2 linked regions of the Elephas maximus indicus genome follow. Each later gene encodes a partner of the first gene's protein in a complex. Links are inferred from orthologs where the notes say so. Each region holds a gene or a part of one and is shown in the gene's direction. Other genes may lie near its edges. The genes, in order: LCK and CD4.

Region 1 (12,140 bases):
GTTTCATTGCAATGGCCACACAGAATTCACAGACAATACTCACAATTATGGGGTTTCTTAGAGAAGCAATAGGTTACAATTCAGGTTAAGGAACACTCAGGATACAGTTTATCCATCAGAACAGCCTCTTCCCAGCCTTGCCGAAGACATGCCTCTCTCTGGCCCTTCAGCCTTGGCCCTGCTCAGGGGCACGTGTTACAGAGCTTTTTTAGGTCTGTCAATAAGTGCTCTGAGGCACCTCACTCCACCACTAAGCCTCACGGAAGGTGCTCAGCTCTAGCTTCCTGGGTTTGCAAAACTAGCCCCACCAAGTGCCCAGAAGCACTCTACTCCTCCAGCAAGCCTCCTGCCGAAAGGCACTCAGCTTTCTCGCTCTGTGGGCTAGGAAGCCTACTGCGCCATCTCCTGCTGGTCTCGCCTGCTGCTGTTTCTCTGCCACCATATCTCCCTCTTTAGTGTTACAGCTATCTCTTTACCGCCTGGGTTCAGGAGCTTCTCAGCTCCGGGATCCTGGGTCCAAAGGACGTGCTCTCTGCTCCTGGCTATTCTTTCTTGGTGGTGGTGAAATCCTCTCTCTGTTCTGGAACTGGCTCTCTTTTAAAGCAAAACTGACCCATCTCCATGGTGGGCCACAATTGTCTTATTTGCAAAGTCCCACCCAATAAGTCGGGTGGGAGTTACAAGACCATGGCTAGAAACACCACACAAAAATGAGCCATTGTGCCACACGAGGAAACTCACTGAAAGGAATTACTAGGTGCATACACTTTACTAGTTGGGGGACCTCTCTAGGAAAATACCAGCTTTAGCTTAGAATAATTGCTCTGTAGCTCTTCTTCCTCTTTAAATTGTGGCAAATATATATGTAACAAAACACTTGCCACTTCAACATCTTTAACCTGTACAATTCAGTGAGTTCAGCCATCACTACTATTCATTTCCAAATCTTTCCATCACCCTTAAAAGAAGAAGGGCCCTTCTTTATGGCAATAATTAACTAACAGTCAGTTCTGTGTTCAAGTTATTCCCAGTTTGTGATAATGAATTCATCTGTTTGCATGTAAGAGAAGACTTATCTTTCTGTTCTCTGTGGCAACAGGTCACAAAGTTAATTCAAAAGTGATATTATATCAAAAGGGGGCAGTTCAGTGGTAGAATTCTCACCTTCCATGCTGGAGACACAGTTTCAACTCCTGGTCAGTGCACCTCAGGCACCTTATAGTGTTGCTATGATGCTGAACAGGTTTTGACGGGGCTTCCAGACTAGGATGCACTCGGAAGAAAGGCCTGACAACCTACTTTCAAAAATCAGCCGATGAAAACCTTATGGATCACAAAGATCCAGTCCCATTGTGCATGGGGTCACCATGAGTTGAGGGTCAACTTGATGCCAGCTAACAACAATTGTATCAAAAAGGAACACATGAAAAAGGAGGGAACCCAGGACACATCCCTGTTTTACCCATTAGAAATTATTTACTCTGCCCGCCAACCCTGATTCTTGACTATTATATTTTGACAAGTTTCCGTGTGGGCATTGCCATTGAACAGATGCAACTTAGCCAAAAACCAAATCCTGGTCAGAGACAAAGGCCAAGATTATGTTTTAAATTATTCCTGACAGCTTTTGCCACAAGGTGGCCCTGAGTACAATGGTCTGGAGTGGAATAACCGGCCTGTTCTTGATGAAGAACACTGGACTGAGAAACCCCGGCAAGAAGCTGGGAAGCATTTTGGATGGAATATTCGATAAATGGAAACCCTGGTGGCATAGTGGCTAAGTGCTTTGGCGCTAACCAAGAGGCCGGCAGCTCGAATACACCAGGCACTCCCTGGAAACTCTATGGGGCAGTTCTACTCTGTCCTATAGGGCCGCTGTGAGTCAGAATCGACTCGATGGCAGTGTGTTTGGTTTTTGGTTTGGTTCAATAAATGAATAGGTCTATGGTTTAGGAGAAGGAAAGTACTGCCCTTTTTGAAAAAATGGACAAGAACACGTTCTGAGCCCACCCAAAGAAGATAATGTTGGTGGAGTTGATAAAAGTGAACAAGTTGTCAAGAATCAGAACTCACTGTGATATGGTTCTAAAACACTCTGGGATCACAAAACCCAGTCCAGGAGCTTTCTGCAGCCTGGAATTTTTGATCAATTGTATACAGTATATATAAGGAGCCCTGGTGTTGCAAATGGTTAAATGCTTGGCTGCTAATGGAAAGGCTGGCAGCAGTTCAAGCCTACCTCATGGCGCTGTGAGAGAAAGACCTGTCGATCTGCTCCTGTAGAGACTGCAGCCAAGAAAACAATATGGGGGCAGTTCTACTCTGTCACATGGGGTCACTATGAGTCAAAATCAACTCAATGGCACCTAACAACAACAACATACATATATGACATGAGCAGGGCCACTGGGTATGTTGAGCAGGTTGGGAATTGTGTTGAGAAGCAAAAAGTGGTGGGAGGGGGGAGGCTGAAACCTAGCCCTCAGTCCACTCTCTAAGTTTGCAGCCCGTGGGAGGGGTGACATTTTTATAGTTTGCACAAAGTGCTGTATAGACCATGGGCAAACTTGAGTTTCACTGAGAGCATTACAGGCCCCAGTCAGAGGTGATATAAACCCAAAAAAACCAAACCCAGTGCCGTCGAGTCAATTCCGACTCATAGCAACCCTATAGGACAGAGTAGAACTGCCCCATAGAGTTTCCAAGGAGCGCCTGGCGGATTTGAACTGCCGACCCTTTGGTTAGCAGCTGTACCACTTAACCACTACGCCACCAGGGTTTCCAGAGGTGATATAGGATCTATGAAATTTCTACTCTTGACCTTGGATTCCTGAGCTGGGAGAAGAGAATGTCCTGTTTCATTCACCCCACTATCTGTCCTTATTGCCGGTTCTTATTCTTATTGCCAGCAGCTCCTTGAATCTACTGTTTGTTGCTTTTCTCTTTTTCTTCCTTTTTTCAGATAATGAGAAATTTTTATTGACCTGGTTTTACTAACCTGGTTATATCATTTTGGCTACCCAGCAGGCTTTGTCAAGCTGAGACTGGGAGGATGGGACCTATATTTTGTAAAACTAGGTGAATGCATATATGATCTTACAATTACGTGGGGATACCAGCAAGCTATAAATACTCCCATTCTGTTAGATGTCCATCTGTGCATGCGGATTCATACAAATGCACAGGTGTGCACACATAAGCATGACACTCACTAAATCTTATGCCTCCATGTGCACAGACTCACCTACACTGAGTCAGGTAAATGTACACTCAGAAATGTGTATTCTAAGCAGAGGGAAAAATTGTCTTGAAGAGAAAGGTCTTTGTTAATAGCACAATGATCAAGTACTTGATGAAGAGTAAACCCACTGTCACACCTGTCCTCCCACCCAACTGCTCTCTGCATGACCACTAACGATTCTTGCCCCCCACCTGCTTTCTCTATGATCTCTCAAGATCCCCCCACATTCTTTAGATCTCCCAGGGAGCGAGGAGCAGAGGAGGGTCCATTGATAAGGAATGTAGGGGCCTGATTTGAGTTTTGCCTCTGCCAAGACCCCTCGGTGTGCTGTTGAGAAAATCACTTACCCTCTTTGATTCCCCAGCTTCTCCATCTTTAAAACGAGGCCGGTGGATTTCCTCAGTGGTTCCCAAACTTTTCCCTCCCAAGGACTCCTTTGCCACCTCCCACCCCCCTCCATGGATCTCATGATTTTAAACATTTTCCCTAACAAACTACGTTGTTTAGGCACTAATTTTCTTATTTTTCTACTTCAAAATTTGATCAGAGACTTAACTAAGTATGCAATGAGGGAACAATAACTAGTAGTAGTATAATTTCCATGTAGATTTTTGAAATTTTAAAATACCCTGAAGGTATTCAACACTATTTTCTTCTGGGAGCATGCAAACACTAGGTTGGGAACCACCAAACTCATCTCTGATGACGGAAAGATTTGGGAATGGGTATGGGTAGTGGTTGAATAACATGGTGAACATAATTACTGTCACTGACCTAACTACCCACGTGATGATTGACGAAATGGCAAATGTTTTGTTACATACATATTTACCATTAAAAAAGTTACCTTATAATTTCTCTTATTGTCAAATTCTGGGGTCTCCTGGTTGCTGCCAGGCTCTTCACGCTAATGCTCACACACTTGTAGAAGGCAAGATGTGCTTCCTTCAGTTGAAGGGCTCCAGGAGCACAAAATAAGCCATAGGGAAAGCAGTCAGGGTCAGAGTTACAGAGTTCCTCTTGGTTTAATTTAACAGAGCCTGGCCTTTTCTCACTCTCCTTAGGGATGTGAGGTCCTTTCCGGTGGGCCCAGATTCTGTCCAGGCTCTAGGTCCTCCTGCAGGCTCTCTTGGACCTCACCCCAAGGCCCGTGGCTCCTTTTCCCTTCCTACCTGACCCCAGCCTGCACCGGGTGCCATCTAGTCCCTTGATCTCCAGCCTGGGTTCCTTCTGCCCTTCTAGCTGCCTCTCCTCACCACTGCATCCCAGGACTTTCACAGGCTCTTGGTCTTGGCCCAGTTCATCCCCCGTCTCAAGCCCATTGTTTTCCCATTGTTCTCTTGCCCTTTTCCAGAGCCTCCCAGAATGTTAAGCCTGGGAGGAACTTTATTGATCTAAGTCCATAATTCATCTGATGTTGGGATTTTCTCTACTACAGGACCAACCTGTGGTTTCCCAGTATCACAAGCCATAGGATGCTTGCTATCTTACTAGATAGCTCAGTTCTTCTTAGGCTACTTCCAAGTCTCTATTGCTCCTTTCCTGGAGGCATTTGCTGCTAATTAGTTCCTGGCCATAATAAAATCAGCAAATCAGAAAGCCATTTGCAGCCACAGATGGGTGGACTCTGGCCTAGAAGGACTTCTCAAATGAACCCCCGCCCCCCCCCACAAAGGACTCCTAACAGTGGGAGGAAGAGTAGATATGTATTCTTTTCCTTTAAGACTCTTGATTTGGCTTAAAATTTCATGTCATTTTGCATTTGTTCCATAATAGGTCTATGTTTATTTAGCTATATGAATAAATTCAGGAACCACTGGCACTCTGGGAAGATGCACACCCATGACATCTGATATCCATGGGGGGTCAGGAGTATGTCAGTTTAAGAAACATGAGCAGCAAAGAGGATTATTTACCAGTCCCATTCCCCTACCCTACAAAGCAGGGGCTGGTAGGACAGAATGGGCCCTGGTGGAGAGCGGGGAGGTCTTTCGAAGTTCTAAACTAAGCTAACATTAACATAAGCTTAAATTTTTTTTTTTTATGAGAAAAGACTGATGATACCCATTTGACAGAAGAGGAAAAGTGAGGCTTTGGAAGAATGATTTCCGCAAGGTCACACAGTGTTAGAATCGGGATTTGAACTTAGTTCTCTCTGGCTCCTGGATCTGTGCTCTGACTCTTGTTAACCAGAAAACCCCATTGCTCCTCATCCCCACCTGGTCCCAGCATGGGTCTTGGTTTATTAATCTAAAATCAAAGGTTAGACCTGGTTGTTTCTAAGACTTGTGCAGATAGAAGAATTGGTGCATTAAACCTCCTCATATCATTCAAAATTTAAAATAGCAACTGGTTCTGGGTGCCTGGGGCATTAAGGCAAATAAAGCGCAGCTTCTGCTCTTGATGAACCTGGAGTCTGGGGATGGTGGGACGTGGTGGAACTAACACATAAATCAGTCATCATGGCACTCAGCGCTGAGGTTGATGATTGGGGCCTGAGCAGAATGTTGTAGGAACTAGGAGTGAAAGGGTAGCAAAGATTATTGGGAAGGCTTCATAGAGAAGGTGATATTTGAGCTGAAACTTGAAGGCTGAGTTAGAGTTCAGCCGATGAACAAAATAGAGCATTCCACGACAGGAGGACCACATGTGCAAAGCCGTGCAGTAAGAAAACAGTGCGGGGTGTTTAGGAAAGGCAAGAGGGGTTCAGACACAGGGTGCGTGAGCGTGTGTGGCTGTTTATGTGTGTGTGTGTAGCAAAATAGACTGAGGAGGTGGATTTGGTCTTGATATTGTGCCATGGCAAATTAGACTTTGTCTGAAGACTAGTGCTTTCCACACAGCTGTGAGGGGCAGCCCTAGGGAAAGAGGTGCTTCAGGGACTCTGGGGGCTTCAGGGTGAGGTGCCACTCTGCTTCAGACAGAGCAATTCCACTTTTACCTACTTTATTTACAGAGCTCTGCCTGACTTCACCTGACAAAAAGGTTGCACTGCTAAGACAAAAAAAAAGTTATGGCCAACAGGGCCACTGGAGGGTTATGCTGGGGGGAGGTAAGACCCTGTTGGAAGAAACCCTCTGAAGGAGGCTTTGTGTATGGCGGAGGGCTCTAATGCCTGACCTTTGGGGACAGGTGTCTCTGACCCAGCTTCCTAGGCTGGAGAGGGATTGTAATTAAGAGATAGGGCCTGTACACCTCTCTGGGAGGGGAGGATCTGATAAAAATTTAGGTCTTCCACAGGGCTTGGGTAAATATGTATGTGTGTTCTCTGGGAGGGAGTCCCCCAACGTGGGGGACAGGCAGAGGGAAAGAGAGAGGGGAGAGGCAGGAAGTGGGCAACTCAACTAAGAAAGGTATCTGTGGCAGTTTGCCCATCCCAGGTGGGAGGGCGGGGCCTAGGGCTTTATGTGACTTTGTTTGTGGCCCTGGAGCTCCAAGAGAGCACCAGTCAGGAGTTAGGGCCCACCATTTCAGATTTTCTGTGGCTGGTGAATGGGGGGGGGGGGGGGGTTGACAACCTCGCCCTAGGATGTCTGGTATTGGGGCTGCAGGTCTTGCGTGAAGTCCCTTCACTCCCCTTTCCATTCCCCCAGGGACCATGGGCTGCAGCTGCAGCTCGAATCCTGAAGATGACTGGATGGAAAACATCGATGTGTGTGAGAACTGCCATTACCCCATAGTCCCACTGGATAGCAAAGCCATGGTAAGAGGCAAGAGAGTGGACTTGGTGAGGGAATTAGGTGAAGTGCAGGGCCCAGGGACACTCAGGAGAAAGAATGGACCACAACTACAGGTCCCTGAAATAACACAGTTGACCATCTACCCCGGTATACAGAAAAGAGAGGCCCAGAGAGGGGAAGGGAATCTCCCAAAGTCACACAGCAAATAGCTGACAAAGTTAGTGATAAGACCCAGCCTCTTGCTCTCTAACCCCACCCTCATCCTCCACCCCACAGCTACCCATGCGGAATGGCTCTGATGTGCGGGACCCACTGGTCACCTACGAGGGCTCCATCCCTCCGGCCTCACCACTGCAAGGTGACCCCAACCAGCAGGGCCTGGAAGATGAGGCCTGTGGATCCTTGGCTGTCTGCCTTCATCTCCTCCGAACCCTCTACCCTTTTCGGCCCCTCCTGCCCCCAGTCCTGTCTCTGGCCCTATAACTCCCGACCTCCATGCTCCCAGCCTACCCCAGGCCGGTTCGCCCTGACGCCCCCTATCTTTACAGACAACCTGGTTATCGCCCTGCACAACTATGAGCCCTCTCACGACGGAGACCTGGGGTTCGAGAAGGGCGAACAGCTCCGCATCTTGGAGCAGTTGAGTGCCCTCTTCATCCCATCCACCACAGTCCTAGTGGGGTCTGTGAGGGAGGGGGCTGTTGGTCTAAGACCCCCATCCTCAGAGTTACCCGGTACCTCCAGCTACACCCTGAGGTCCTGATTGGCTGGGGGGGGGGGCCCTTGGAACAAACGGGAAGCTCTAGAGTGCTGAGCTGTGGGGAGGGAGACCTGGTGGAGCTGAGGACTCAAAGGAAGGGTCTCCTGCTCAGTCGAGGGCTGGGCAGGCCGCGCTGACCATCGCTGTGGTGCAGGAGCGGCGAGTGGTGGAAGGCACAGTCTCTGACCACGGGCCAGGAAGGCTTCATCCCCTTCAACTTCGTGGCCAAAGCAAACAGCCTGGAGCCCGAACCGTGAGTGGGGGCTTGTCGTGGGGATGGGCGGGAACACATGTGGCGACCCCAGAGTGGGTGCTCGGAGTCGTGGTGACTGGTTGAGGGGGACGGAAGAAGAAGGGACTAACAGACGACAGCCGTCGTTTCTGCCCTGCTCAGCTGGTTCTTCAAGAACCTGAGCCGCAAGGACGCGGAGCGGCAGCTGCTGGCGCCCGGCAACACGCACGGCTCCTTCCTGATCCGGGAGAGCGAGAGCACAGTGGGTGAGCGGTTGGGGGGGCCACAGCCGGGGCGGGGCCGCGGGGGCGGGACCTCAGGCTGGGGGCCTCCCAGTGGGCGGGGTCGCGGGCTGGCAAGGCAGGGCAGTGAGGCGGCATGGTGCCACCTGGGTGAGCCCGAGCAGAAGGGCATGGGTGGCGTGCGCGGCTCGGGGAAGGCGACCCCGCCCTCTTTTGCATTCTTTTGTTCATTCATTCATTCATTCGTTCAGGATCGTTCTCACTGTCGGTCCGGGACTTTGACCAGAACCAGGGAGAGGTGGTGAAACATTACAAGATCCGTAACCTGGACAACGGCGGCTTCTACATCTCCCCACGCATCACTTTCCCCGGCCTGCATGAACTGGTCCGCCATTACACCAGTGAGCAACTCCAGGACTCCCTCAGATTTGCCCCAGGCCCCTTCTCCTCTGCCGTACCAGCCTGCCCCCTCCCCCCAGTTTCTCTCAGAGTTACCCTCCCCCCATTTCTGAGCGTGCTCCTTCATTTCCCCCAGTGGGTGGGGCGGGGTCTCCGACCCTACAGTCCCAGGTGTCGGGTGACAGCCCCACACCGCCCTGCCAGTCCGTTTCTCCTACACCGGGACTCGGTGAGGTGGGCGCTGGGTGGGGTGACCCAAGGCCTGCCTTCACACTTCTCCCGTGTCCCCGCAGATGCTCCGGACGGGTTGTGCACGCGGTTGAGTCGCCCTTGCCAGACCCAGAAGCCCCAGAAACCGTGGTGGGAGGACGAGTGGGAGGTTCCCAGGGAGACGCTGAAGTTGGTGGAGCGGCTAGGGGCTGGCCAGTTCGGGGAGGTGTGGATGGGTGAGTGTGGCCCTCCAGGGTTGCCGGGGAAGGAGGGAGGGGAGGCGTCCGCAGAAAGCTCTGAGTACAGGTGCACTGGCAGCGGGTGACTCCCCCAACCCCTTCTCCCTCAGGGTACTATAACGGGCACACGAAAGTGGCAGTGAAGAGCCTGAAGCAGGGCAGCATGTCTCCCGACGCCTTTCTGGCCGAGGCCAATCTCATGAAGCAGCTGCAACACCAGCGGCTGGTCCGGCTCTATGCCGTGGTCACCCAAGAGCCCATCTACATCATCACGGAATACATGGAGAACGGTGCGCTCCAGGCGCCGCGGTCCCCTGCGCCCCTCCTGGAGGGTGGGGTTCTGCATTGTCCTCTGGCTCAGCATAAAGGGTTTCTAGATGGGCTTCCTGGGCCGCTGAAGGCGCACCGCCAAGGACTAGAACCGGACATATTATCTGGGGGCCCAGTCTACGGTGGCAGAGCCTGGAAGAGCATTCGCCTCGATCTTCCCTTACCTGCAGTCTCCTTTGCTTTCTTCAAAACCCTGTCTTGATCTCAGGATGCTAGATCTCAGGAGTTGAATGGGCCCCTAGGTTCTTTTCTCCCCTTTTTGTCCTTCCTGACCCTTGGGAGGACAGATCTGTCCCAGCCCATTGCTGTCGAGTGGTTTGGAAATCATAGTGACCCTATAGGACAGAGTAGAACTGCCCCACAGGATTTCCAAGGCTGTAATCTTTATGGAGAAGGTATGGAGAAGGAGCCCTGCTGGCAGAGTGGCTAAGTGCTTGGCTGCTAACCGAATGGTCAGCAGTTTGAACCCAGCAGGCACTCCACAGGCAAAGGATGTGGCAGTCTGCCTGGGTAAAGATTTACAGCCTTGGAAACCCTATGGGGCAATTCCACTCTGTCGTACAGGGTTGCTATGGGTCAGAGTCGACTCAGCCTCAATGGCAATTTTTACCAAAGCAGAGTGCTACACCTTTCTCCCGTGAAGCGGCTGGTGAGCTCCTACTGCTGACCTTTCTGTTTTGTTTTGTTTTCTGTTAGCAGCCAGGCACTTAACCCCTGTACCACCAGGGTTCCTTAGATCTGCCCCAAGGCCCTTTTTTTCCAGCTGTGGGTGAGTCCTTTCCCCCTCCCCCTCCCCTGGAAGGTGTTGCTGTAGGGGCTGTACTATTAGACAGAGAGCCCGGAAAGGCAGAGACTGAGTTTCTAAGCTCCACTTTGACACTGATTTGCTGTGTGACCCAGGCTAAGTCCCCATAGCACCTCCGGTCCTCAGTTTCCCTAAAGACGTTGTGTTATTAGTTGTCATCAGTTGATTCTGACTCATGGCAAACCCACGTGTGCAGCTCCTGCTTTAACAGCAGAAAATCTAAATGAGCTCACCCAGAAAGAATATAGTCATTAAGGGCTCTAGAGTCTGACTGCCTGGATTAGAATCCTGTCTTCATGGTTGTGTGGTTGTAAAAATGGCATGGGGGTGGCGTCTGACCTCCTCCTCTAACTTCGTAAGGAAAGAGGAGAATCACCATCAGCATCAGCCCGAGGCTGATTCCTATGAGATGAAGGTCAGACATACCTCTACCCTCCAACCTTTTCACCAATTGTGACACCAGCTACCCCTCCCACAGCACGCTCTACTTCTCTGATGGGTTCGATAATTTGTTGCAATGGCCACACAAAACTCATAGATCATACTCAGAGTTTTGGCATTTATTAGGGAAGTAACAGGTTAAAATTCAGGATCAGGGATAACTCAAGATATAGTTCTTCAGTTAGGACAGCTTCTCGGCCATGCGCACAAGTAGGCCTCTACCTGGTTCTTGGCCTCTCGGCCTCTCAAACCTCTTGGGCTGGCCCAGCCTCTGGCCTGGTCAGGCAAGTGTTACAAAGCTCTTTAGCTCCACCAATAAGTGTCCAGAGGCACCCTACTCTGCCAGTAAACCTGGGCCCAAAGGTGCCCAGCTTTCTCATTCTGTGGGCCATGCAGCCAGCTGCACCATCTCCTGCTGGTCTCCTGGTGCCTCTGCTGCCACTATTTCTCTGCCACTGCTTCTCGGTGTCTTGCGCCATCTCCGGTGTTACAGCTGTTTCCTGGGTCTAGGAGGTTCTCAGTGCAGGGATCCTGGGTCCAAAGGATGCACTCCACTCCCAGCTCTTCTTTCTTCATGGTAGTGAGGTCCTCCCTTTCTGCCTCTGGAATGGCTTGTTTTAAGCCTAGTGGGACAGCAAAACTGACCTTATTTACATGGCTCCACCCACACAAGGGTGGTGTGCACCATTATTAGCAAGCTGTCCAATCTCCCTGGTGGGCCACAAGCACTTTTTGCATAGTCCCACTCAGTCATTCCGTGAGAGTTACAAGGCTATGGTGAGAAAGGCCATATAAAAGTGATCAATTGCACTACAGTGGTCTTGGACTAATCACTTACCTTCTCTCTGCCTTGGTTTTCTCATCTGTAAAATGGTGATAATAATGGAATAGTAACTTCCTCATAGGGTCTTTGTGAGGATGAAAGTTAGAACAGTGCCTGCCATATGTTAGCTACATCATACATTTGTTGTTTTTATCTAGTTCTGATTCTTTGGAAATACATTATCTGTCCCTCTTTCAGGAAGGGAAAAAGGTAATTGGCTAATAGATTCTAGACATGGCAAGTAGGTTTCATTATAGGTGCCAACTTTGATTGGTTGGTAGTTGCTTGGAGAGCTGGGTTGAGAAGGATTCTGAAGCTCACTGGAGTGAGTACTGTGATTAGCAACATTTGTCACAGACACAATAGAGGAATGGCTGTATATATCCACATATTTGCTGCCTCTGGGTGAGGCCTTTGTTTTTGGTGACTAATTTAGCCCCATAGTGGGGACACTCAGGTATGCTGTCATCCTCATATGAGGTTTTAATCTCTTGGGAAGTGCCACTGGTCACAAGCTTCATCCTAGCAACTTCCATAGTGTTTTTCTTCCAGCCACCCTCCACTACGAGAGATGCCCCAAGGCCCCCAGGATCTCTTTCCATATTCCATTCAATACCTTCAGCACACAGTCATTGCTGCTTACTCTGGGCTGGGCACTAGATAAGTGAACAAGATTTCTGCTGTTAGGGAAACTCATGATTTTAGTAATGGGCACTGGGAAGACAGAGTTTGTGCCAT
Region 2 (12,564 bases), on another chromosome or scaffold:
TTCAGTGGTATTTCATCATGGCTTTAAATTGCATTTCCCATTGGCCAGAATTGACTTGATGACAATAGTTTTTTTTTTTTAATGACTAATAATGTTAAGCAATGGGTTTTGGTTTATTAATAAAGAAGAAGAGAAAACAGATCTGGAAACAACTAAAGGTCTGTGCAAAGAGATAGCTAAGATCTGTAGAATGAATAAAAATTATCAAGATCAATAGTTCTCAAAGCGTGGTCTGTGGACCCCCGGGGATCCCTGAGACACTTTTGTAGAGTCTGTGAGGTCAAAACTATTTTCATAAAAATAATAGGATGTTATCTGCCTTTGACACTATTTTGACATTTGCATTGACATTGCAAAAGCAATCTGGATAAAACTGTTGCCTTGCCATAAATCAAGGTAGTGGCACCAAACTGTGCTAACATTCATTGTGTTCTTCACTGCCAGGCACTTGCAGTCAAAAAAAAAAAAAAAAAAATTAGCAACAGGTTCACTTAAGAGTGCCCTTGATGAGGCAGTAAGTGTTAATTTTATTAAATCTCAATTCTTGAGCACACTGTGTAATGAAATAAGAAATAGCATAAAGAACTGCTGCAAATGAAGTATAATGGTTATCTCCAGTGGAAACACTTGTGTAGTTGTTGGAGTTGCAAGCTGAACTAGCCACTTTTTTTTTTTTCCAAGGGAAAACTACAGTTCCTTGTAAGGACAACTGACAAACTACAGTTTTTCAGACTTGACTATTTGGCGGACAGTTTCTTGATAATGAACAAAATGTAGCTTCAAGGAAAACAACTGACAGTATTTGTGGCCAATGGCAAAATTTGAGATTTCAAGTGAAAATAAGAATTTTGGAAAACTTCTCTGTCACCCATGTGATGCCATCCCAATACTTAAAGACTTTTCTGATGGACTTGGTGGCAATTTAAACTAATATATAGATTTTTTTTTTTTTTTGTAGTTTAATGAAATGTATCAACTTTTGGAAGATCTGCATCATTCAGTGAACCGATACTTTCCAAGTGGCCAATGATGTCATAAAATCATATGTGCGTAAAAGCTGTATTCAAAGTACAAGATAGATCAGAGGATTTTAATGTAACAGAGTACAAAAAGTTAGCTGATATGGTTTCAGGTTACACATTGTAGTGGAATTCCACACTGCAGTTAAGAAACTACCACTTATTGAATTTTAGTGTACTATTTTTTATTAGAATATCTGGGAACCCTGGTGGCCTAGTGGTTAAGTGCTATGGCTTCTAACCAAGAGGTCGGCAGTTTGAATCCACCAGGCACTCCTTGGAAACACTATGGGGCGGTTCTACTCTGTCCTACAGGGATGCTATGAGTCGGAATCCACTCTATGGCAGTGGTTTTTTTTTGTTTTGTTTTATTAGAATATCTGGAAACCCTGGTGGAGTAGTGACTAAGAGCTACAGCTGCTAACCAAAGGCTGGCAATTCAAAACCACCAGGAGCTCCTTGGGAATCATGTGAGGTAGTTCTACAATGTCCTGTAGGGTCACTATGAGTCAGAATTGACTGGACGGCAATGGGTTTGGTTTTTTGGGGGGGGGCGGGTATTAGAGTATTCTGGAGCCCTGGTGGTTAAGAGCTACAGCTGCTAACTAAAAGGTCAGGATGTTCAAATCCACCAGCTGCTCCTTGGAAACCTATGGGTTAGTTCTACTCTGTCCTATAGACTGACTATGAGTTGGTATTGACTCTATGGCAATGGGTATTAGAGTGCCCACAATGATCAAAAAAGCCTTCAAAATGATCTTCCCTCTTCCAACTACATACCTGTGTAGAGCCAGATATTCTTCATATACTTCAACCAAAGAAACATATTACAAAAGATTGAATGCCGAAGCAAAAATGAGAATATGAGAATCCAATTATCTTCTACTAAGCCAGAAATTAAAGAGTTTGCAAAAATGAAAAACAACACTATTCTTCTCACTCAATTTTTTTCTTTTTGGAAAATACAGCTATTTTCATAAAAAATATTTTATTTATGTCAATTTATAATGGATTTAAAGGAATCTTGGTGGTGCAATGGTTAAGCATTTGGCTGCTAACCAAAAGGTCTACAATTCAAACCCACCAGTGGCTCTGCCAGAGAAAAGACCTGGCAATCTGCTGTCATTAAGAATACCATCTAGGAAACAATATGGGGCCGTTCTACACTGACTTATAGGGTTGCTACAGGTTGGAATCAACTTGGATTTATTATTATTTTCAAATAAATTAACAAATACAAATTTGAAAACTTTTCCAGTCTTAATTTCTAATAAAAAAGCCTCTTGGCTTTCAGTCAGAATCAACTGGATGGCAATTAACAACAACAAAGGAGGTTCAAACAAAAGAGGAACAAATTTTGAAAACCACTATTCTAGACAAAGGGATAGAGAGGAGGGTAGAGGAATAGCTTACCAAGCAGAGAAATAGTTTGTGCGGAGACTCCAGGGTAGGAAAGGAGTTAGTACCTTTGAGGAACTGAAAGAAGACCAGAGTGGCCAGAGTATAAGCGAGTTGAAGAGTGGCTGGTACGGGATGCAGCTGGTGAGGGACAAAGGTACCAGCTCACACAGGGCCCTAGGGCGGGTTGAGTTTATGGCTTTATCCTAAAGAAATGGGAAACCACTGAATGTTTCATTTATTAATTTTTACCTTTACCAAAAAAAATGATTTATTTGGCAATACATGCACATTGTTCCTGTCGTGGATTGAACTGTGTCACCCGAAAATATCTGTCAACTTGGCTAGGCCATGATTCCTAGTATTGTATGATTGTCCACCATTTTGTCACCTGATGTGATTATCCTATGGTGTTAATGAGGCAGGATTAGAGGCAGTTATGTTAATGATGCAAGACTCAATCTACAAGATTCGGTTGTGTCTTAAGCCAACCCCATTTGAGATATAAAAGAGAGAAGCGAATAGAGAGACATGGGGACCTCATACCATCAAGAAACAAGAGCCAGGAGAATAGTGCGTTCTTTGGACCTGGGGTCCTTGAGCTGAGAAACTCCTCAAGCTGAGATTGATGACAAGGAACTTCCCCCAGAGCCAACAGAGAGAGAAAGTCTTCTCCTGGAGCTGGCACCTTGAGGTTGGACTTCTATCCTACTAGACTGTCAGAGAGCACATTTCTCTTTGTTAAAGCCATCCACTTGTGGCATTTCTGTTGTAGCAAACCAAAACCCAAATCCATTGCCGTTGAGTCTATTCTGACCGTATGGGACAGAGTAGAACTGCCCCATAGGGTTTCCAAGGAGTAGGTGGTAAATTTGAACTGCCAACCTTTTGGTTAGCAGCCGAGCTCTTAACCACTGTGCCACCAGGGCTCCTCAGTCAAAGATGAGACAGGCGCATAAAACAAAGGGAGACTAAATAGGTACACCAATCCAGGGGCAAGGAAGAGAAAGCAGAAGGGGCAGGAAAGCTGATAATGGGGAACCCAAGGTTGAGAAGGGGAGAGTGTTGACATGACATGGGGTCGACGACCAATATCACCAAATAATATGTGTATGAATTGTTTAATGAGAAACTCATTTGTTCTATAAACCTTCATCTAAAGCACATTAAAAAAAAAAACCTCACTGCCCCCTAAAATGCCTACCTAATCTTTTGAGTTGTTGTCAGTTTGATCCCATATAGACAGTTCTTAAAAGAGCATAATGCTCAGGGCAGAGCTTTTTAACCACTTTAGCTAAACTATTGCTTGCTTTCAAGATGACTTTAAGGGACATTTTCAGTTTATGGTTTAAGGATTATGTTAGGGCAATATTTTCACCCTCCATGGCTCCAGAAAGTTAAGAATTCATGAGAATTTGAAATTCTGTTCTGCATTTTCCCGGTTTGGCATTTTTTTTTGAACACGTGGGAGCAAGCACTTATATTTTTCATTAATGATCTTTCTTGGAGATCATTCCACATAAGTATTAAAAGAGCTTTTCGTATTTTAAAATGACTGCATCATAATTACAGCCCTGGTGGCACAGTGATTAAGAGCTGGGCTGCAAATCGAAAGGTCAGCAGTTTGAATCCACCCGCCGCTCCTTGGAAACCCTATGGGGCAGTTCTACTCTGTCCTACAGGGTTGCTATAATTGGACATCAACTCCACAGCAAAGGATTTTGGGCATCATATTCTATGGTATGGATCCACCATAATTTATTTTACTAGCTGTGGTGTCACTAGGGCTGGTATCACCCAGCAAGGCAACTCAGGGTGTCACCCTGCCCGCCCATGGGTGGGGTGGAGTGGCCCAGCCTGCTCAACCCCCCACACAGGGCCAAGAGCTGCATTGCCCACTCCGCCTGCCCCAGCCCTGCCTCCCAGGGCTCCCCCAGCTCCTCCTCTCTTTCACTGGCCAAAGCGGAGACGCTCCTCTCTGCCCAGTGGGGGGTGTCCAGATGACTGGTAGGGAGGAGGAGGGATGAGGACGGGGGGGTGAGGAATGGCGAGTTACCTCACTGGGTAACTGGTGGCACCAACCCTACTGATTCTACTGCCTTCGTGGCCCCTCCTCTGGCAGCGCTGGCCTGCCCACAGCCACTGACAGACTGTGGAGTCATTTTGGTGGCACTCACTCTGACAGTGTCACCACCACTGTTAGCTAGTCTCCTCTTAAGAAGCCCTGGTGGGGCAACGATTAAGTGTTTGGCTGTTAACTGAAAAGCTGGCTATTAAAACCCACCCAGCAGCTCCAGGGAGAAAGACCTGGGGATCTGCTTCCATAAAGATTACAGCCTAGAAAACCCTATGGGACAGTTTTACTCTGTCCCATGGAGTGGCTATGAGTAAAAATCAGCTTGACAACACCTAAAAACAACAACAGTCCCCTCTTGATTAGGTTGTTTCTAATCTATTGCCACTATGAACAATGCTGCAATGAAAGTACTTGTTGATATGACATTTCGCACATGGAAAAGAACATCTGTAACGCGAATTCCTGGATCTAGGAATGCTGGCATTGTAACCAAAAAGGTTAGACCACTCCCCCTCCATCCATCACACTCCTGGTCTGTGGTCAACTAGCTCCCAATAAGCCATCCTGTGTAGCAGCCCAAGGCCACTTCACCTCTCCCCTTCCAGTTGGGCATGCCCAATAAGCCGAAAAGCTGTCCTTAGATGAACTTCATGTACCACACCCTGAAAAACACACCCCCTAGCCACCATGACACAGCACCCCCACATATGTTAATTAGTTTCTGGAATTGCCCACCTAGCCTAAGAAGCTTGATGAGTTATGTATAATTTCACAATTCCAATTCCATTAACTACCCTAGAATTTCCAACCATGAGGAACTTGGTTTGAGACTTAGTCTCTGAGCTCCTTGCTTGACCAGCTTACGGTAAAGGTCACTTTCTCCTCCTCAAAGGCCTAGTGTTTCTCAATTGACTGGAGGGCGAAACCCACCTTCATCAGGTCATAGGGTCAAAGATATGTGCATATCATATTTTTACATATATAGCCAAATGGCTGCCATAGAGGTTGTGTCAATTTACATTCTGGCAGCAATGTGTCAGTTATGAAGGGTTTTAGCAGAGAAATGACAAGGTCACACATTTTTAAAAGGTCACTCAGGCTACTGTGAGAACGATGGGTTGGAGGAAGGCAGAATTGGAGAGTCCAGGGGACCAGTGAGGAGGCAGGAGCTGTAGTCCAGGCAAAGGATGATGGTGGCACCTTGGATTGGAATGGTGGCAGTGGGGCAGAGTAACCTGGATAGATTTCAGAGCTATTTAGAAGATAAGGTCCACCAAAACAAAACAAAAACCTGTTGCTGTCGAGTCAATTCTGTTACATGTGTTACAGATAGAATTGCTCCATAGCGTTTTCTTCACTGGTATCTTTATAGAAGCAGATTGCCAGGTCTTGCTTCTATGGCACCCCTGGGTAGGCTCTAACCCTCAACCTTTAGGTTAGTAGACAAGCACAGACCATTTGCACCACCCAGGGACCTTAGTCCACAGGCACTAGTACATAAATGCACGGTAAGGGTTGGATAAAGGAGTCAAGGATTATACCCAATTTATTTGGCTTGTTCAACATAGTAGATGAAGCCCTCCCTGAGTGGAAAACTTGAAGCAGAAGTAGGTTTGAAGAGTAGTGGAGTGCTGGATGGTAAGTTTAGTTTGGGATGTTTAGTTGGGTTTGCTATGTCTGATGAATATCCAAGTGGAGATGTCCAATGGGCAGCTGATACGAATGTTTAGAGCTCATGAGAGGTCTGGACGAGAGGCAAACATCTGAGAGTTTACCAGAGACTGAGGTCCAGAGGAAAAAAGTGTGTCCATGATGACTCTGGGCATTCCAGGTATCCTCCTATTCCCAGTCCAGGCCCTTACTGCTACCCAAGTTCATCTATAAGGCCTGTGGTGCAGGTGGCCCTGGAGGCATTCACTGGAAAATTGCCCTTGGAGCCCTAGATCAGGGAGCTATTTTGGGGCTCAACACAACTGCTCTCATATACTCCCCGACCTGCCTCCCACTACTTTCCCTGAAGACCAGGCCAGATGGCACTATCATTGCCACAATCTTTTTCTTGTCACCCAACAGTGGCAGAGACGCTCTGGGCTGTAGCCTGGCCCTACTGAAATTTTTCCCTTGACTTTGGCATTTTCACTTTCACATCTCCCCCAAAAGCCAGGGGGTGGGGACCCCAGCCCCAGAGGGTGACGTGTGGGGCCGGCCCAAGCCTGGGGTGTAGTTACTTCACTACCCAGCTTCCTGTTTCTCTTCATTTGAGCACAGTCTCTCCAGAGGTAACGAAGCCCTCTCTCCACTGGGCTTCAAACCCTTTCACAGATACACTTGTGCAAGAAGCACAGAAGGAAGACACAGACCCAGAGGTAAGATGGATAGACCCAGTTTCATTTTTTTCCTCAGGGCTGGGAAGGGGAGGAGAATGTGGCACAGATGCACCAAAATATGCTGGATTCCCAGTTCTCTGCCCACAGCTCTGACCATTATCTGATTTCTCTCAGGATGGGTCATGTAGTAGCCTCCCACCAGAAATGCGAGCTTCAAGAGGGCAGGGACCCCTCTCTGCATCCCTCACAGCGCACAACTCATTGTCCAAAGCTGCAGGTCCTCCCGGAGGAGAGCTGAGTGGAATTCAAGGGAGAGTAGAAATGAGGCCCTTGAGACTGTCCCGGGCTGAGAAAGGCAGGGGAAGGCAACTAGCCGTAGGGCAGTGGAGGAGATAAAGAATGGGAGATGAGAAATAAGGAGAAAAAGAGGGAAGAAGGGGCTGGGAAAGAAATAGGAAGAATAAATAAATATTAAGGAGAGAGGTGGCCTATGAAAAAGAAATGAACAGAAAAGAGGAGCAAAAAAGGCAAAAGCGAGAAAAAGAGGAGAACCTAGTCTAAAACTTCTCAAGGCAATTCTCCCAAAGTCAATTCTCCAATGACACAACCACCAAAACTTCACACCAAAAGTCATATTTATCATCCTTGTGGCATTCGTAAGCCCCAGAATCGGCGTAGTCTCTTTCAATGATCTCTGTTATGTGTTTTTAAGTTTTCGTCTACTTTTGGGCATTTTTAGGATTTTTATACATATTGTCTAAAGGCACTTACGCTTTAATTAGCTTGAAAATGATTGAAGAAATGGGAAAGCTAAATTGCTCAAAAAGGGTTGAAACCGAGCCCTTGCACACGAAATGCCATAAAAGGGATAGGTACGTCTTTTTAGGTAAATATGTCGTTAGACAAATTGATTCTAGGAGAATTAGTTTTAGATGACTCAGACTGCTCTGGAAGAGGGGGCCGTTGGAATTTGAAAAGGATTTGCAGACCCTCCCTGGGCTTGGTGGTGTGTAGGGGGGAAGCAGGACTCCATGTCCCTCAAGACTGATGCTGTATAGAACTCCAGCCTCCCATCTTCACCCCCAGCCCTTTTGCCTGTCCTGAGATTTCCGTGGCCTTGGAGCCCTGCTGTTCCCAAGTGTCCTCTGCCTTCCCTTCATAGTCTACTCTGGGAGAGGGGCCTCCTGGAGGAGCCTGATACCTCTAAATAGAAAGTCCCTATTCTTGCTAATTCAAGGATCTCACTCTAGGTGGGATAGCACTTCCCGAATGTCCTGTCCTTGTGGGGCCAATTTTTAGAGGCACAGGCCGAGAGTAAAATCTTATGGGGGAAGATCATTGATATTTCACTTTTGACAAATAATTTCTGTGTGAGATTCTGTAGACTCATGCAAAATGGCCGCCCTCTTAACCTCAAACGACAGAGCTCCCAGAGGGCAGAGTTAGAGATACTCAGGAGATGATTCCACTCTTTCAATTTGGGGTACTTATGTAGAAGAGTTCCACCTCTTAATAAAAGCTACCCACCAGTTTTTGTGTAGGGAGCAGAGTTTATTTTAATGGTGGTGGAATAATTTGGAAAAGAATAGTGATAATGGTTGCACGACACGAAGTATGTAATCAATGTCACTGAATTATACATGTAGAAATTGTTGAATTGACAAGAGTTTGGTTGTGTTTGTTTTCACCTAGAAAAAAAAATTCCCCCCCAGTTAGTTCTTGGCAGAGGCCTGGAAGCAGTGCTAGGCTCTGACCCTGGCCGTAATGGTGAGGTGGCGCTGAGGGGATTTGGATAGACCAAGGGTCTTGCACATTTTGACACTCAATAAATGTTTGTTGAATGAAATAACGGTGATGAGGGAGATGGGGCAGGTACCATAGTGCTGGGAAGGGGTAGTTGTCGTCCTGGTTTTTAAGGCTGTAAGGTTGAACGCTGTTCTGTGCTTTTCAGGGGATAGGGGAAGTAGGGAGGGCACAGCTCCCCCCACGTGGGCGTCTGATGCAAAAGAGAGGATGGTGGAGGTTGTAGCCACCGAACCACAAGAGTCTCCTTAGAGGGGTCATGGTCTCTAGGAAGACCACGGTGTCTAGGAAGTTCATACGAAGCCAGTAAGCAGTAGACAAAGGGTGAGTGTGTGTGTGTGCGTGTGTGTGGCTGGGCTTGAGGGGGCTGGTGGGAGCTACGGGAAGAAGATAAAAGTGCCTGTGGGACCACAGACTGTCACTGTGGTGGGGCTGCGCCCTCTTCCTCTTCTCAACCTCAATCCTCATCCCATCCCCAGGGGCCGGGGGTGAGGGTGGCAGGAACTTCAAGGGCTCCCAGTGTGTGTGGCTGTGTGTTGCCATTCTGGTCTTTTCTCTTTCTTGGTCTCTCTTTGTCTCTGTTTTGCTCTGTGCATGTGTGTTGCCTCTCAAAATTTCTTCATTTTGCTCCTTTTTGTACTTCTCAGAGCTTTGTGTGTGATTGTGCGTAGTGTGAAGTGTAGCTGTTGCTCTAATAAGTTTATCCGAGTCTTTCCCTCCCTTCTTCCTTCTCATCCTCCCTTGGGACCTCTGTGTGTATCTCGGGGAATCTGTCCTTTTCCCTTTGTCCACCCATGTCTTTCCACCTCTTGCTTTCACCCTTGTCTCCAGGCCATGCACTGGGGTCCCCTCTGTTTTGCAGATGGAAAGCTCCCTTTAGATCAAAAAACAAAAAACCAGTTGCCTTCCAGTCAATTCCAACTCATAGTCAACGTACAGGACCCTACAGGACAGAGTAGAACTGCCCCACAGAATTTCAAAGGAGCGACAGATGGATTCAAACTGTCCATTTTTTGGTTAGCAGTGGAGTTCTTGACCAGGGCATCACGATCAAAGCTTGTCAAAAGCCTGCATTCCTGCCAGAGGCCAAGATGCCTGCTTACAGAAGGAGGAACTAGAGCTTAGTGGCAGCTGGAGAGGGGAAAGATGAAAAATGAGAAGAGGAAAGGAGGCAAGCAAAACCAGGAGAGCCAGATTCGCCTCCTGGTGTATGAGGCACAGAGGGAGACACAGACATAGGGAGCTGACGATGGAGCAATCAGCTTGGGGAGGCGCAGAAACAGAAATGCACAGATGGGAGCAGAGAAACAAGCACAGAGAGAGAGAAGCACCAGGCTCGCGGGGTGGGGGCGGGCAGCCTCCAAGCCTCTCTCCCGGGGCTGTGGTACACAGGATGCTACTACGCTAAGGGCGGAGCTCGTCCGGGGAGGCTGAGGATGTGGGAATCAAAGGCCAGCTCTCTGGGGCGGCAGCGGAAGCCCAAGTCACCGAAGCAAGCGGCGGGCTTCTTCTGGAAACCCACAGCCTCCGCCGCTGAGCTGAACCCTGGGGCAGTTTGGGGTTGTGCGGGCGATTCGGGGGAGGGAGGTGGGCCTCCACTCAGACGCCAGGTTCAGAATCCCAGAGTGAGGAAGGAAAAAATGACCACCGTTGTAGGTGGGGAGGGAAGGGTCAAGAATGTCCTTAGCCTTCCTCAGGAACGTTACAAGGGTAAGTTAAATTTAAACCCAAGGGAAGAGAGAGCCCATATGGAGGCTTTGTCCCTTCTCTGCCCTCTGCTCACCAAGGACCCAATGAGTCTGGGATGGGGGACAGTGGGATTATTATCAGGTGTAAGGCTATCCCTACCCCACCCTTCTTACCCCCCTAATGCCTCCTGTTCCCTGTACTGACTTGAAAACAACTTCACCCCAGTGACTGACTAGCCTCCTTCCCTCTTTTCCGGAACCCTCCTTCCTGTCCTCCCATTGCAACTCATAGTGACCCTATAGGACAGGGTAGAACTGTCCATAGGGTTTCCAAGGCTATAAATCTTAAGGTAAGCAGACTGCTACGTTTTTTTCCTCCGAAGTGGCTGGTGGGTTCCACTCGTGGGACCTTTCAGCTTGCAGCCCGGTGCTTTAACCACTGTGCCAACAGGGCTCATTTCCTGTCCTCTTCTCTTCCTATTTCCCTGGTTTAAAAAAAAAGTGTGTGTATATATATATATATATATATATAACCAAAAAAAAAACAAACCCACTGCTGTCGAGTCGATTCCGACTCATAGCGACCCTATAGGACAGAGTAGGTCTGCCCCGTAGAGTTTCCAAGGAGCGCATGGCAGATTTGAACTGCTAACCTTTTGGTTAGCAGCCGTAGCACTTAACCACTATGCAACCAGGGTTTCCTAAGAGGAATCACCCCTGGCCCCTAACACATAGTAGGTGTTTGATATATATATCAAGCACCTACTATGTGTTAGGGGCCAGGGGTGATTCCTCTTCCAGGCAGATGGAGTGACTGGAAGGGACCTTTTCTATCTTCCCCAAACCTTATTAGGAAGCCCAGGCCCCCAGCACCTCCTCTGAGTGCTATACCCTTCTTATGGATTTTGCATCAGAGCCGGACAGGAGCCAGAATCCAGCTCAGGTTGTTCAAGAGCCTGTAGAGGGAGGGTTATTTACAGAGGTGAGAACAGGGTTAAGGGAACCAACAAACATGTTAAGGCTCCCAAATACTAATAATAGTAGGAAGGGTCCTGAAGGGGCAAGAGATGGAAATGGTGTTTGCAGACACCAGTGAGAACTTGAACTGTGGATGACGGACCACCCGACAGGAGCCATAGTCTAAGTGGACACAGGCATTGCCAGAAAACATGCCTCAGTATTCTCTCCCCCAGCCCTGCCATCTTTTGCAGGTACTTCTCGTTGGCTAAACTCAACTGATAGCTGGAGGGCAATGCAACATGTGGCAGTCAGGCTTCTTGGCAGGGAGCAGAGTGGGGAAGGGCAGAGAAAAAATAACGGGTTCCTACGAGGATAAGTAGCATGGATTGGGTCACACTTAAATGACCCATTCTAGTGACAGAATGAACATTAAGCATAGAAAAAGGAACCAGCGATTTCCACTTTTATTTGTTGCCTAGGGCTGCCGTAACAAAATACCACATAGTGGGTGGCTTATAAGAACAAAAATTTATTGTTTCACAATTCTGGAAACTAGAAGTCTGATTCATGGTGTTGGTAGCTTAGGGCCATGTTCTCTCTGAAGGCTTTAGCAGAAGATCATTTCTTGTCTCTCTCAGCTTCTGGTAGCCTCAGGTGTTCCTTCACACGTAGATTCATTTTTACATGACAGTCTTTCATCTGTCTGTCTCTGTCTCTCCTCTTTCATAAGGGGTCACTTAGAATGGATCAGGACCCACCCTACTCTGATATGACCTCATGTTAATTTGACTGATAACATCTTCAAAGACTACAGGAAGTCCCTGGATTACAAACAATTTTCATTCCTAAATCTGTCTTTAAGTAGAATTCAACTTAAGTCAGAACAGTTAGGTTTGTATCTAATGTCAGTCAAATGTTTGTCTTAGTATATAGTGTACCTTCCTATGCATAAAAAACATTAAAGAAACACTTCCCAATACACTCAAACATCTTTACCATAATAATACTGTAATAATAATAATGCTTTGATGTGTGTTGCAAAGTAATGCCCTGTATGTTATTACCAACCATCCTATATACCTTCTCCGCAGTTGAAGAGATAACTACAGGGCAAACGTTACCCAAAATACTCAGATTATGTTCTGTAAAATCTTTGAGACCAATTAGATGCTTTATTGTAGATTCTGAACTAAAAAATCTACCTTGTACCACTAGGCTGCATTTCTACTGAGATTTGAACCTTCCTCAGCAGAAGCAGGGAGGGTTGGGGGTGCAGATAGGATGGCCCTGAG

Evidence for each region.
Region 2: the proteins of LCK (region 1) and CD4 are in contact, whole or in part, in an NMR structure (PDB 1Q68), measured with the Homo sapiens proteins. The link is inferred for Elephas maximus indicus from reciprocal best matches to the Homo sapiens genes LCK and CD4. Residues at the interface, in NP_001036236.1 of Homo sapiens: Glu15, Ile17, Val19, Cys20, Asn22, Cys23, Tyr25, Pro26, Ile27, Val28; in NP_000607.1 of Homo sapiens: Ala429, Arg431, Ile435, Leu438, Leu439, Lys443, Thr444, Cys445, Gln446, Cys447.

What each region holds. Positions count from the first base shown.
Region 1 is NC_064821.1:73,156,152-73,168,291, forward strand, and holds the start of LCK (tyrosine-protein kinase Lck), read left to right. Parts: upstream 1-6,944; intron 6,945-7,197; coding exon of another isoform or gene 7,198-7,210; coding exon 7,211-7,560; intron 7,561-7,835; coding exon 7,836-7,934; intron 7,935-8,075; coding exon 8,076-8,179; intron 8,180-8,406; coding exon 8,407-8,556; intron 8,557-8,847; coding exon 8,848-9,000; intron 9,001-9,113; coding exon 9,114-9,293; intron 9,294-12,140. UniProt on the Homo sapiens protein: Non-receptor tyrosine-protein kinase that plays an essential role in the selection and maturation of developing T-cells in the thymus and in the function of mature T-cells. Plays a key role in T-cell antigen receptor (TCR)-linked signal transduction pathways.
Region 2 is NC_064822.1:63,564,751-63,577,314, forward strand, and holds the start of CD4 (T-cell surface glycoprotein CD4), read left to right. Parts: upstream 1-6,764; 5' UTR 6,765-6,860; intron 6,861-12,564. UniProt on the Homo sapiens protein: Integral membrane glycoprotein that plays an essential role in the immune response and serves multiple functions in responses against both external and internal offenses.